Linked DNA regions of Saccharomyces cerevisiae S288C. Each later gene encodes a partner of the first gene's protein in a complex. Each region holds a gene or a part of one and is shown in the gene's direction. Other genes may lie near its edges. The genes, in order: MRPL51, MRPL22, RML2 and MRP35.

What was found.
Region 2: MRPL51 (region 1) and MRPL22 share a complex: the UniProt entries of both Saccharomyces cerevisiae proteins name them as parts of the mitochondrial large ribosomal subunit.
Region 3: MRPL51 (region 1) and RML2 share a complex: the UniProt entries of both Saccharomyces cerevisiae proteins name them as parts of the mitochondrial large ribosomal subunit.
Region 4: MRPL51 (region 1) and MRP35 share a complex: the UniProt entries of both Saccharomyces cerevisiae proteins name them as parts of the mitochondrial large ribosomal subunit.

What each region holds. Positions count from the first base shown.
Region 1 is NC_001148.4:727,946-730,717, forward strand, and holds MRPL51 (mitochondrial 54S ribosomal protein mL43 MRPL51), read left to right. Parts: upstream 1-1,845; coding exon 1,846-2,268; downstream 2,269-2,772. Other genes in the region: LEC1 (Lec1p), read left to right, coding at 1-670; TMH18 (Tmh18p), read right to left, coding at 1,002-1,440, 1,537-1,583; YPR099C (uncharacterized protein), read right to left, coding at 1,812-2,168; SNT309 (Snt309p), read left to right, coding at 2,547-2,772. UniProt on the Saccharomyces cerevisiae protein: Component of the mitochondrial ribosome (mitoribosome), a dedicated translation machinery responsible for the synthesis of mitochondrial genome-encoded proteins, including at least some of the essential transmembrane subunits of the mitochondrial respiratory chain.
Region 2 is NC_001146.8:303,180-306,324, reverse strand, and holds MRPL22 (mitochondrial 54S ribosomal protein uL22m MRPL22), read left to right. Parts: upstream 1-1,709; coding exon 1,710-2,639; downstream 2,640-3,145. Other genes in the region: TDA7 (Tda7p), read left to right, coding at 1-1,255; 40S ribosomal protein uS3 RPS3, read right to left, coding at 2,923-3,145. UniProt on the Saccharomyces cerevisiae protein: Component of the mitochondrial ribosome (mitoribosome), a dedicated translation machinery responsible for the synthesis of mitochondrial genome-encoded proteins, including at least some of the essential transmembrane subunits of the mitochondrial respiratory chain.
Region 3 is NC_001137.3:59,163-62,756, reverse strand, and holds RML2 (mitochondrial 54S ribosomal protein uL2m RML2), read left to right. Parts: upstream 1-1,905; coding exon 1,906-3,087; downstream 3,088-3,594. UniProt on the Saccharomyces cerevisiae protein: Component of the mitochondrial ribosome (mitoribosome), a dedicated translation machinery responsible for the synthesis of mitochondrial genome-encoded proteins, including at least some of the essential transmembrane subunits of the mitochondrial respiratory chain.
Region 4 is NC_001146.8:397,519-400,039, reverse strand, and holds MRP35 (mitochondrial 54S ribosomal protein bL35m MRP35), read left to right. Parts: upstream 1-1,669; coding exon 1,670-2,017; downstream 2,018-2,521. Other genes in the region: protein channel TOM70, read left to right, coding at 1-1,356; NMA111 (Nma111p), read right to left, coding at 2,362-2,521. UniProt on the Saccharomyces cerevisiae protein: Component of the mitochondrial ribosome (mitoribosome), a dedicated translation machinery responsible for the synthesis of mitochondrial genome-encoded proteins, including at least some of the essential transmembrane subunits of the mitochondrial respiratory chain.

The sequences.
Region 1 (2,772 bases):
CAGGCTTGTTGATGATGTTATCAATGGTCAGTTGGGCGTTTCCACACAGTTCGATGTCGTGGAAGAAATCCATAACTTAGTAACCAAACATCAAGATGCCTTTTTTGAGTTTATTCATGATGTATATTTGAACGATTCAGAGGGCATTTTTGAAGGTTTTATTACTTGGATTACTACGATAGTGAAATTTTTGCAAAAGAGTAAATTCGGAGGACCGAGTGAAAGGATCGACTTCAATAAGTTAATTTGTAGAGATGATATCGATATTGATGTCAAACTTTTGAAAGTTCAAGTTAATAATGTTCTTAATAAAAAGATTGGTGCGAGAAAAATCTATAAGAAGTTGTTAGATTTGAAGGTTAAACAAGGTACTAAACAAAATAACAAACACGCTGCTGGCATACTTCAAAAGAATTGGAGTGACATAAACTCCTTGGTTATGCCATCCAGCTCTGGATCTTTTGGACTTGGAGATGGTGATTTGGTGGATTTGGATCTCGATACAGGTGATTACGATTTTTTACATAAAGAGAATGAAGTTGAATTAGAAAAGCAATACAAAGATTTATTGAATCTTGTTGTTGATGAAAGTGAAATTGATAAATTGAGATCTCAAGTTTTCGCACAGGAATTAAAAAATTATTTAGAAGCTCAAATTGCTAAAAAGTAGGCCCTTTCTAGTATCTCCTTTATTCGTTTTTATTCGTTACGATTTTCCGGCTTAATAATATAGGATTGCTAGGTCTATATATAAGAAAAGCTTGTAGAAATAAAAAAATAGAAAAAACTTCAAGATAAATATTGTTCTCTTTTATTTTAAGATCCTACAAACAGCACAATTCCCCTTTTAGTTATTTTTAGCCAAGATCAGGATAGCAGAGAACTGAGTCCCTTATTCTTTAATTGAGGGTCAAAAAATTCCGATTGCGAACTTCATCTCCACCTTGGCAAAGGAATGACGAAAAAATGATCTTGCATATATATATTTACTTGTAAAATAATTATTTTGGAATTTTTCTTAACAAACCACCTGACAAACAAACACCGTACGCAAGCATCCCGCAAACATTAGAAAGATTGAACAAAAGACTCAATCCGTGCGACTTGCCAAATTCTTTACGTAATATAGCATCCTTTGCTTCCAATTCACTACCCGTGTATTTCTTCGCAATATTCTTTCTTTGTTCTTTAACTTTATGGGTCCAGGGCAACAACCAAAACAAATTGGTTAGCCCACTGACAGATGCAACCACCAAAGAAGATAATGGTCCTGTTGTCAAGGCAATTGGAGCGGTAAGGGCCAGGATGACAGGTGATGCCGCTTGCATTTGGAAAAAATACGGGAAGATCTTATTTTGCAAAGCAGAAAATTGGTCTTTTTCAAGAACTTTGAATGCGATTGGAGAAGCTACATAGGAATAAAACGTCGTTCCTCCAAATCTGAAAGATTAAGTTGGTACATAAAAGTTGTTAGTCAGTTATTCTCAATTAATCATAATTGTTCAAATTTTTTCTTGTGTCTTAATCTGTACATACACAAAGGAATAAAAAAGCAAATGAGCCGTAGTTTTGACTAAACACATTTTTCGTTGTTAAGTTTACTGGACTGTAAAGCGTAGTTTGATCTGCCTATATCATCAAACAACTCCATTTAACTCCCTTAAATAATACTATTCTTTTCTGTAAGTTTATCGCACTATACGTTACGGTGCTTTCCGTCTTTTTCGGATGAGGGATGCTCATAAGAATTACAACAAATCATAAGCCCTGAGATAAAAAAGATCAATCAATACGATTATCATAAACCATGACTAAGTAGATACACAGACACGAATATATGGAGAAATGGTTGTGAAAGCTATTGCACGAAATTCCATAGGTCGTAATGGAGTTGGAGCATTCGTGTTTCCATGCAGAAAGATTACTTTGCAATTCTGTAACTGGGGAGGGTCTTCGGAAGGCATGAGGAAATTTTTGACTTCAAAGAGATTAGATAAATGGGGCCAGGAGTTCCCATGGATACAGTTTGAAGTGATGAGGAAGTCTGGACATCCTTTGTTGAGGGCAGAATACACAAATGGGCGTGAAAAAGTTATTTGTGTGAGAAACTTGAACATTGACAATGTAGAAAACAAGCTAAAGCTATTGAAGGATTCTGATGGAGACATTTTACGCAGAAGAACAAAGAATGATAACGTGGAAAGCTTGAACAGTAGTGTGAGGGGTATATGGTCGCCTCTGCATGCTGCGAAAAGGCATAGAATTTAGCTTTAGTATATAAGAAAATTCTAGAAATAGAGAGAGATAATTATACTTGTATATATAATTTGGGGCAGATAAGACTCCTGATATTTAAGATTTAAAGTCAATTTTGCCATTGTTATATGATCATGTCCTGAAATATGACCTCTTGTATTTGGTTACCCGCTTTACACCCTGCAAATCACACTAGTCTAATAAATATGGAATAAGACTGAAACATATAAAAGATGTAACTTCTAGGATATCTGAAAGAGCAACCGTACGGTATTCAACGTTTAGATTTGATGGACGGCCTTAGCTTTGTTGATAAAGGGAAAATACCAGATGGTTACAAAAATGAAATAGATCAATTAGTAAAGAAGGAATTTGCGAATATAAAAAGAGAGCCTGTTCATCCCGAAATACGAGGTATACTTGCGAAGAGAAAGGGGGCCGATAATAGTGTTTCTACGCTTACAAATGCATTGTACACCGAATACTTGAAACAACGTAATAACAAAAAAAGGCGAA
Region 2 (3,145 bases), on another chromosome or scaffold:
AACTTCATTTCAAATTAGTACCACTTCAGAACTCTCTTCTAGTTGGTTCTCAACAATTTCTTCTCCTTCTACGATATCAAATAAAGATACCACATTCCCAAGTTCCAGTCGGAATACTTCCACATCGTTTTACAGTTCATCGCTTTCATCGACGAACGATTTTTCAACCATAAGCAAATCATCGAAACTCAGTCCATCAGCTTCATCTTCGACAGTTTCCATAAGCACGATTTCCGTGCCAACGTCAAGTTCTGTTAGCTCATCCAGCAGTAAAGTACCTTCAAACCGTCCTTCATCATCATCATCATCAGATGATACAACAAGTGCTTACTCAAGCACGTATACTTTTCAGTCCTTACAATCTACTACTAGCAGCAGTATACCACCCACCACTCAAACACCCAGCACTAGTACGATTTCTACGTCTCCCATACCAACATCCAGTCAGGTCTTCAATACGGTAGCCATTTCAAGCTCCGAAGATTCAAAAACTATTTATTATTTCTATACCCAAACATATGATATTACTGACTCCTCTACAACGTTCGTGACGGGATTACCTACGACCATAGCAGTTGCAAAAAGTGAGGTAACCTCATTTTCCGCTCCATCTTCGACGATCACAGCTGACATGTCTTTCTATCAGCACTGGCTTGATGGCAGTTTGGATAATAACAAAAACCAAGGCACTTCAAAGACAAATACTGGTACCATTGTTGGAAGTGTGGTAGGAAGCGTCGGTGGTATTCTTATATGTGTACTAGTAGTTTGGTTCATGCTGGTTAGAAAAAGGAAGGCAAAGAGGCATTTCAAGGAAAACGATTCCTTCTGTCACGAGATTGGGCGCAGAACGGGATTCCCAACAACTGCCCAAGCAAAAGAGGCGTCACTTCAAGCTCAAGACTCGGGATCACAGCAACGAAACACCGAGACTGCTTCTGCTAATAATCCGTTCAGCAACGAATTCAATTTTAAGGCAAGAGGAAATCCTCCTCCAGTGCCACCACCAAGGAATGTTACCGCAATGAATGGCTCCTTTCAAAATATGCGGAGTAATTTCATGGACCAGGAAAACAGATTTTCCTATGGCTCTTCATTTACATATTCGTCATTGGGTTCATCTACTCAAGGTGGCTTTTCTACTTTATCTTCAAATTCGATACGACTCGGACGTGGTTTAGATAATGACATCTCTCATGATGAGAGAAATACAGTTCAGAACAATTCACAAGGGTTCTTGAGGGAAATTATATGACGATGACTTCAGTCTATTAGTATGATGTTTACTAATTAAGCAAAATCAGCTCTTGCTGAATAACACTACTATTAAAAATCATAAAAACATCTTTATTGCCAATAGTGAAGAACGACAAGGCCTTTTAAAAGGCATAAAAAACAATGATACCATTCTGCAATGAAAAAAAAAGAAAACTTTGTTCTTTGTGTATAAAGAAAATATTTTAGTTCTCCTAAATAAATAAATACTAAATTATACGAAACTCTTTCAGTCTTTTCTCCTGCTTGCTGCTTGAACAGTACTCATGATATTCTATTAATCTTCTGTGGGCGGGGTAACTAAGCCTTCACTGTACTCGGGATTTTGAATAAAAGTCAACTATCCAATCTGGAAGGCATTTTAACATACGCCATTAGGAGCCGCATAGCAAGTCAGAGAACCTCACCTCACCCTATCTTTTTTATTAAAGAAAATGAACTTCCACACGGCAAGAATATCTCAGGTCGGTGTCATTTCTAGGGCTCTACTTTCTTCTGTAAGTAGACGTTGGATTCATGTAACGCCAATAAGTCTTAATAATTCAGGAGGATCACTATTCGGAAGCATTACAGAAAATAAACCAAAGGAAGGAAAAAACAGGGGGGATGAAGATGCAGGCAGCTTCTCTAATAGGTTAGCGATTGCTTCTGATTCTTCTGGAGAGGCTCCTGAAGTTAATAGGGATTCAATAACCATAGAAAACGATAAACTACTACAGCAACATATCATATCGTTGCAGCAACCGGAACAATTAGCATCACAGAGCTTATTATCTCCTTTGAAAAGGGAAATATATGAAGCTAATTGTAAAATTAATGGTGGGTTTTACAAGAAAGATACTATTGTAAAGTTACCAAATTCTAGCGAACGTTACAAGCTAAAGTTAACAAAAAGAGAAATTGAAGTACTAGAACCTTCCGTATATGCTCAGTCATATAGAATTAAATCGTCGATGAAAAAGGCTACACTTTTGTTGAGGTTATTGGGAGGCCTCGACGTTATGAAAGCTATATCTCAGTGTCACTTTTCTAATAAGAAAATTGCTCGCGAAGTAGCAGAACTACTTCAAAAAGGTGTAAAAGATGGCCAAAAATTAGGTTTGAAACCAGAGGACTTATATATCTCTCAGATTTGGACAGGGAGTGACGGGTTTTGGAGAAAACGTGTTGAATTCAAGGCAAGGACAAGAATCGGAATCATAAGTCATCCTTACATACATGTCAGATGTATTCTGAGAACAAAGAGTGTTACGAAACGAAGACTTGCTTATGAAGCACATTTAAAAGAGCAAAAAAGAGCGCCATGGGTACAGTTGGGAGATAAGCCCATTAGGGGTGTTACAGGCGGCGTATACAAGTGGTGAAAACGATAGCGAACTCATTCATATCCGAGAAATCGTCCTGTAAGCTGAGAAAGATGAACTGCTACTCACTTCTTAACCTATATTCACAGTTGTGTTGTACAAAACTTTTCTTTTGATTATATAATATTGTGATTCTGTAAATAACAACTAGTTTCAACGCACTGCTTCAACGTGCACCCTCCTGACTAAACACGGCAATATGCAAGAAACCGCAACAATTAAGTGCACTAGAATAGAAGAAATTATTGTACTTATAGTTTATTTATGTATTTAATAATTAAATCTAAGCTTCAACTGGTTCAGCTTGAGCTTCAGTTTCTTCAGCTGGTCTGTAGTCCTTGACAGATGGAGCAAGAATTGGTTCTTCTTCTTTTGGTTCAATGATGGTGACAGCATCTGGCAAAGCCTTTGGACCAGTTCTGCTCTTAGCTGGGTCTCTCATAATCTTAACCTTGATACCCAAAACACCTTGTCTCATCAAGACGTGTCTAGTAGCAGTGTCAATG
Region 3 (3,594 bases), on another chromosome or scaffold:
TGAAAAATGGGTGAATTTTGAGATAATTGTTGGGATTCCGTCTGTGTTGAAGGCAATAATATTAGGTATACAGGATATACTAGAAGATTTCCTCGAGATTATAGAAATGCCCAAAAGGAAGTCGATAGTGCTACATAATTATGTAACTTCATCCTCCTTCCTTTTATACTTTGTCGTTCGCTACCCTATTACATTATTAATTCTTGCATTTCAGCTTCCTTTAAATTTGATAGCTGTTTCCCATCGTACTTTTTGTCAACTAATTCTGTCCTATATGATAATTGAAGAGTGGGTGAATTTTGAGATAATTGTTGGGATTCCATTTTTAATAAGGCAATAATATTAGGTATGTAGAATGTACTAGAAGTTCTCCTCGAGGATTTAGGAATCCATAAAAGGGAATCTGCAATTCTACACAATTCTATAAATATTATTATCATCATTTTATATGTTAATATTCATTGATCCTATTACATTATCAATCCTTGCGTTTCAGCTTCCACTAATTTAGATGACTATTTCTCATCATTTGCGTCATCTTCTAACACCGTATATGATAATATACTAGTAACGTAAATACTAGTTAGTAGATGATAGTTGATCTTTATTCCAACAATAATACATATTAATACTATATACATAAGATCAAAGATGAAACTTGCTTCTTATTCCAGCAAGATTCTATATGCCATGATATACGACGAATAATATTTTGTGAATCAAGTTGATACTCCAAGGTTATGTTCTAATCTATGTTCTGTGGGTTCTTTATTTTTTGAATAACAACAAATAGTAAGCGCAAGTGGTTTAGTGGTAAAATCCAACGTTGCCATCGTTGGGCCCCCGGTTCGATTCCGGGCTTGCGCAGCTTTATTTTTTTAATCCATTCATTTCATGAGCAACTGTCAACTAATTCCAATACGAAGAGCCTAATTCTTTGATAGTTCCTTTTCTTTTCTAGTTTAGATTTCAGAAAGCGTAAACAACAATTTTAATCATCGTATTCAAATTTACATCGAACACGTTCATGATTAGCATGGAGTGTAATCATCATCAAAAAAAAAAAAAAAGAGGAGTGATAATGGCAATTAAGACAATTTTTTATATAACAGTAAGAATTGATATTGAAACCAAATTGTGCTTAACAAAAAAAACTAGGTCGAATGGATATTTTTCTTAATCCAACCGTACCGCTGTGTACAAATGAGGCAAAAGAGGTAAAATGTTTGAGAAAAGATTCCTTTCTTCAGCAATCCTTTTCTTGCATTAAATACATGTTCCTTGAGAAAACTTTTGATGTTTAATGTGTAAATATCTCATTAATTTCAGAATTTTCAGTGTTTGTTGTTTGTAAAATCAGTCATTTCAAAGATCCGCTTGGGGCGACAACTTAGTCATCATGTTAATGAGATACCAACAAAAAACTGTACTTGTAAGTTGTCTTTATCATCTCTAAAGGAACAATAATGCAGAAGAGAAAAAAGTAAAGAAAGTAATACACAAACATCCCCCTCTTGGCTTTATAAGCATACGCAAACAGTATAGTTCGAAAAAAAAAGTATTAGTACGATCTATTTTTGTTTGTCAGGAACTCCTGTTCCTTAACACATTCTATAGAAATATCTATATGTTACCATCCACGTACAGGTTGAAGCGCTTGGTATTTAAGATGAATAAGTATATTCTACGGTTAAATTTGAATAGAACCTCTGTTCTTTAAATACTCAAAAAAAATTTTCCATGCAAAAAAAAGACTACGCGAGGTGGAAAGTTAGGGCTTGAACCTATAATTGAAAGAGAAAGGGAACGTATGGGAAACTGAAAGCGAGTTCTAACTAAGCAAAAGAGAACGTTGTAAACTAGTCCAGAAATACGCAGAGAAGATAATTTAAGTGTTTATGAAAGATGTTGGTGCTAGGGTCTCTTAGATCGGCGCTGTCGTGCAGTTCCACAGCATCGCTTATTAGTAAGAGAAACCCTTGTTATCCATACGGTATACTCTGTCGAACTCTATCTCAGAGTGTTAAATTGTGGCAAGAGAATACTTCAAAAGATGACTCCAGTTTGAACATTACTCCACGATTACTAAAGATTATACCTAACGATACTGATATCGTGACTCTTGAGAAGCAGGATGAATTGATTAAAAGACGTCGTAAACTTTCGAAAGAAGTGACCCAGATGAAGAGGCTAAAACCCGTCTCACCTGGTTTGAGATGGTACCGTTCCCCCATTTATCCATATTTGTACAAAGGTCGTCCGGTTAGAGCCCTAACTGTTGTTCGAAAGAAGCACGGTGGTAGAAATAATTCAGGAAAAATCACTGTCCGTCACCAAGGTGGTGGCCATAGAAATAGAACGAGGCTGATAGACTTTAACAGATGGGAAGGTGGTGCACAAACGGTGCAAAGGATTGAGTACGATCCGGGTAGATCCTCTCATATCGCCCTATTGAAGCATAATACTACCGGCGAATTGTCTTATATTATTGCTTGTGATGGGTTACGCCCAGGCGATGTGGTCGAATCCTTCAGAAGAGGTATTCCTCAAACTTTACTGAATGAAATGGGCGGGAAAGTAGACCCTGCTATCTTGAGTGTTAAGACTACCCAAAGAGGCAACTGTCTACCTATTTCCATGATCCCCATAGGTACTATTATTCACAACGTTGGCATAACACCCGTTGGACCTGGAAAATTTTGTCGCTCTGCTGGTACATATGCCAGAGTCCTTGCGAAATTACCTGAAAAAAAGAAAGCTATTGTTAGATTACAAAGCGGTGAACATCGTTATGTGTCTTTAGAGGCTGTCGCTACCATTGGCGTGGTCTCCAATATTGACCATCAAAACAGATCTCTTGGTAAAGCCGGCAGATCAAGATGGTTAGGGATAAGACCCACTGTTAGAGGTGTTGCCATGAATAAATGTGACCATCCTCACGGTGGTGGCCGTGGTAAATCCAAGTCTAATAAATTATCAATGTCTCCATGGGGACAACTGGCAAAGGGGTACAAGACTAGAAGGGGTAAAAATCAAAATAGAATGAAAGTAAAAGACAGACCAAGAGGCAAAGATGCAAGATTATAAATAGGCTAATTTTAGTAGAAAAGAAGCAACATAGGGACCTTTTCTTCGTTGTTCTGGTTACATTTATCTGTACTATATAATTTTGCACAGCCTGTAGACAATGCCGCTTGTCCACAATCATGTAAATATAAATATTGAAACTTTTCACTTGTTTAAAATTTATGGCAAACCACTTTAATACTTTTTTCTTTTTAGGTACAATATTTACATTTTGATACTGTCCATCAGATTTTAGTCACTAACATCTAAGTTAAGGAAGTAAGAGATTCAGACTCCGGTAAGGAAAAAAAAAAAAAAGAAAAAAAAAAAACAAACTCTGAAATGAAAGCATTAGAAGAAAAAGTTATATCTCATGTACAATTTGAGCAAATTTGGACCGATATGATTTGAGGTTGTATGATAAGAAGTGCTATTTATGATTGTTTAAAAAGATGTTATTTTATTAAACAATTATACAAAATATCCTTTTTTTTAATAATGGCTTACATATTTTTGAAAAGGGTCTTG
Region 4 (2,521 bases), on another chromosome or scaffold:
AAAGTTTTACTGAGAAGAGCTTCTGCTAACGAAGGGCTAGGAAAATTTGCGGATGCGATGTTCGATTTGTCTGTATTGTCTCTAAATGGTGACTTCAATGACGCCTCTATTGAACCAATGTTGGAGAGGAACTTGAATAAGCAAGCTATGTCTAAATTGAAAGAAAAGTTTGGCGATATTGACACCGCTACTGCTACTCCAACTGAATTATCCACCCAACCAGCTAAAGAACGCAAAGACAAGCAGGAAAACTTGCCTTCAGTTACATCCATGGCCTCTTTCTTTGGTATTTTCAAACCCGAGTTGACTTTTGCCAATTATGATGAATCCAATGAAGCTGATAAAGAGTTAATGAACGGTTTAAGTAATTTGTACAAAAGATCTCCCGAAAGTTACGACAAGGCTGATGAGTCTTTCACGAAAGCTGCAAGGTTATTTGAAGAACAATTGGACAAGAACAATGAGGATGAAAAGTTAAAGGAAAAATTGGCCATCTCATTAGAACACACAGGTATTTTCAAGTTCTTGAAAAACGATCCATTGGGAGCTCACGAAGACATCAAGAAAGCTATTGAATTGTTCCCAAGAGTCAATTCATATATCTACATGGCATTAATCATGGCTGATAGAAATGACTCGACTGAATATTATAACTACTTCGATAAAGCGCTGAAACTGGACTCAAACAATTCTTCTGTTTACTATCACCGCGGCCAAATGAATTTCATTTTACAAAACTATGATCAAGCAGGAAAAGATTTTGATAAAGCTAAGGAATTAGACCCAGAGAATATCTTCCCTTATATTCAATTAGCATGTCTAGCGTACCGTGAAAACAAGTTTGATGACTGTGAAACTTTGTTTAGTGAAGCTAAGAGAAAATTTCCAGAGGCACCAGAAGTTCCAAATTTCTTTGCTGAAATTTTAACAGACAAGAACGATTTTGACAAGGCTTTGAAGCAGTACGATTTGGCTATTGAATTAGAAAACAAGTTGGATGGTATTTATGTTGGAATTGCGCCTTTGGTCGGTAAAGCCACTTTGTTGACAAGAAATCCAACAGTAGAAAATTTTATTGAAGCCACGAATTTATTAGAAAAAGCGTCCAAACTAGACCCAAGAAGTGAGCAAGCTAAAATCGGTTTAGCTCAAATGAAATTGCAGCAGGAAGATATCGATGAAGCTATTACATTATTCGAAGAATCCGCTGATTTGGCTAGAACTATGGAAGAGAAATTACAAGCCATTACTTTTGCTGAAGCCGCTAAAGTTCAACAAAGAATTAGGTCTGATCCAGTATTGGCTAAAAAGATTCAAGAAACTTTAGCTAAATTACGCGAACAGGGTTTAATGTAAACAGTAAACATAAACTTAAAAACTTTTAGGAGAAGACAAAAACTAAGTAACAAAGTAGACTAAATGACAAAGGAAGAGCAGCAATGACATTGACATCTCACTTTGAAAATTTTTGTTTTCATTTTTGTTTCAATATACACGTATGCATGTTCTAATATATATATATATATCTTTTTCTTTTTCTCTTTCATTCTGTAAATAATTAGCAGTGCGTATAAACCACAACCAATTTTTTCAACCTTGAAGCCCTCGCCAATTTGCGGAGCCTAAAAAAATCTGGTCAAATACAAAAAAGATAGTATATATATCTATCATGAAAATTAGCTTGCATAACAAACGGCAACGAGGAGACCAAAACCAAAACATGTCTGTTTTCAATGTACTCAAACCACTACTTAAAGGTTCAAATAGTTTCAAAGTGAAGCTCAACGGCTTTCTATTCAATAACGTTTCTACAATAACAATAAGAACTTTAATGAAAACTCATAAAGGTACAGCAAAGAGGTGGAGGCGTACCGGTAATACTTTTAAAAGAGGCATAGCTGGAAGAAAACATGGCAATATAGGCTGGTCCCATAGATCATTAAAAGCCTTAACCGGAAGGAAAATTGCCCATCCAGCTTATTCAAAGCATCTAAAGCGGTTATTACCCTATCATTGAAGGTGGAATAATTATGTTCTCCTCTAAACCAAACGCACCGTTAACCCCAAATCAATTGTTTGAGTATTTGCTTTCGGTCTTCATGTATATAAATAAGTATGAAACAATAACCATAAATTTATACAATCGATAATACCTTAGAGAATTCAAGCGTTGAAGTAATTAAATACTATTTCGTCAGGCGCTTGCAACCATCTCGACATCATAATCCTAACCCCTCAAAATGATTGAAAAACTTGTAAATCTTAACGCTCCTGTGATAGTCTATAAAAAAACTGTTCTTTATGGAAGACTTTGATGTATACATACATACATACATATATAAATGTTTTATCAAATCTGGCCTATTTTTCACTTTGGCTGTTGCCGGTAAATTCCTTTTCAATCCATTTGTGCGTGATGTTGTCCCTCTTCAATTCTGCAGTAGGGAAGTAATGATAATTCGTTTTCAGTGAAATAGCGAAGGGCACATTGTCGAAAGTCATTAACCTCATTTTACAATAA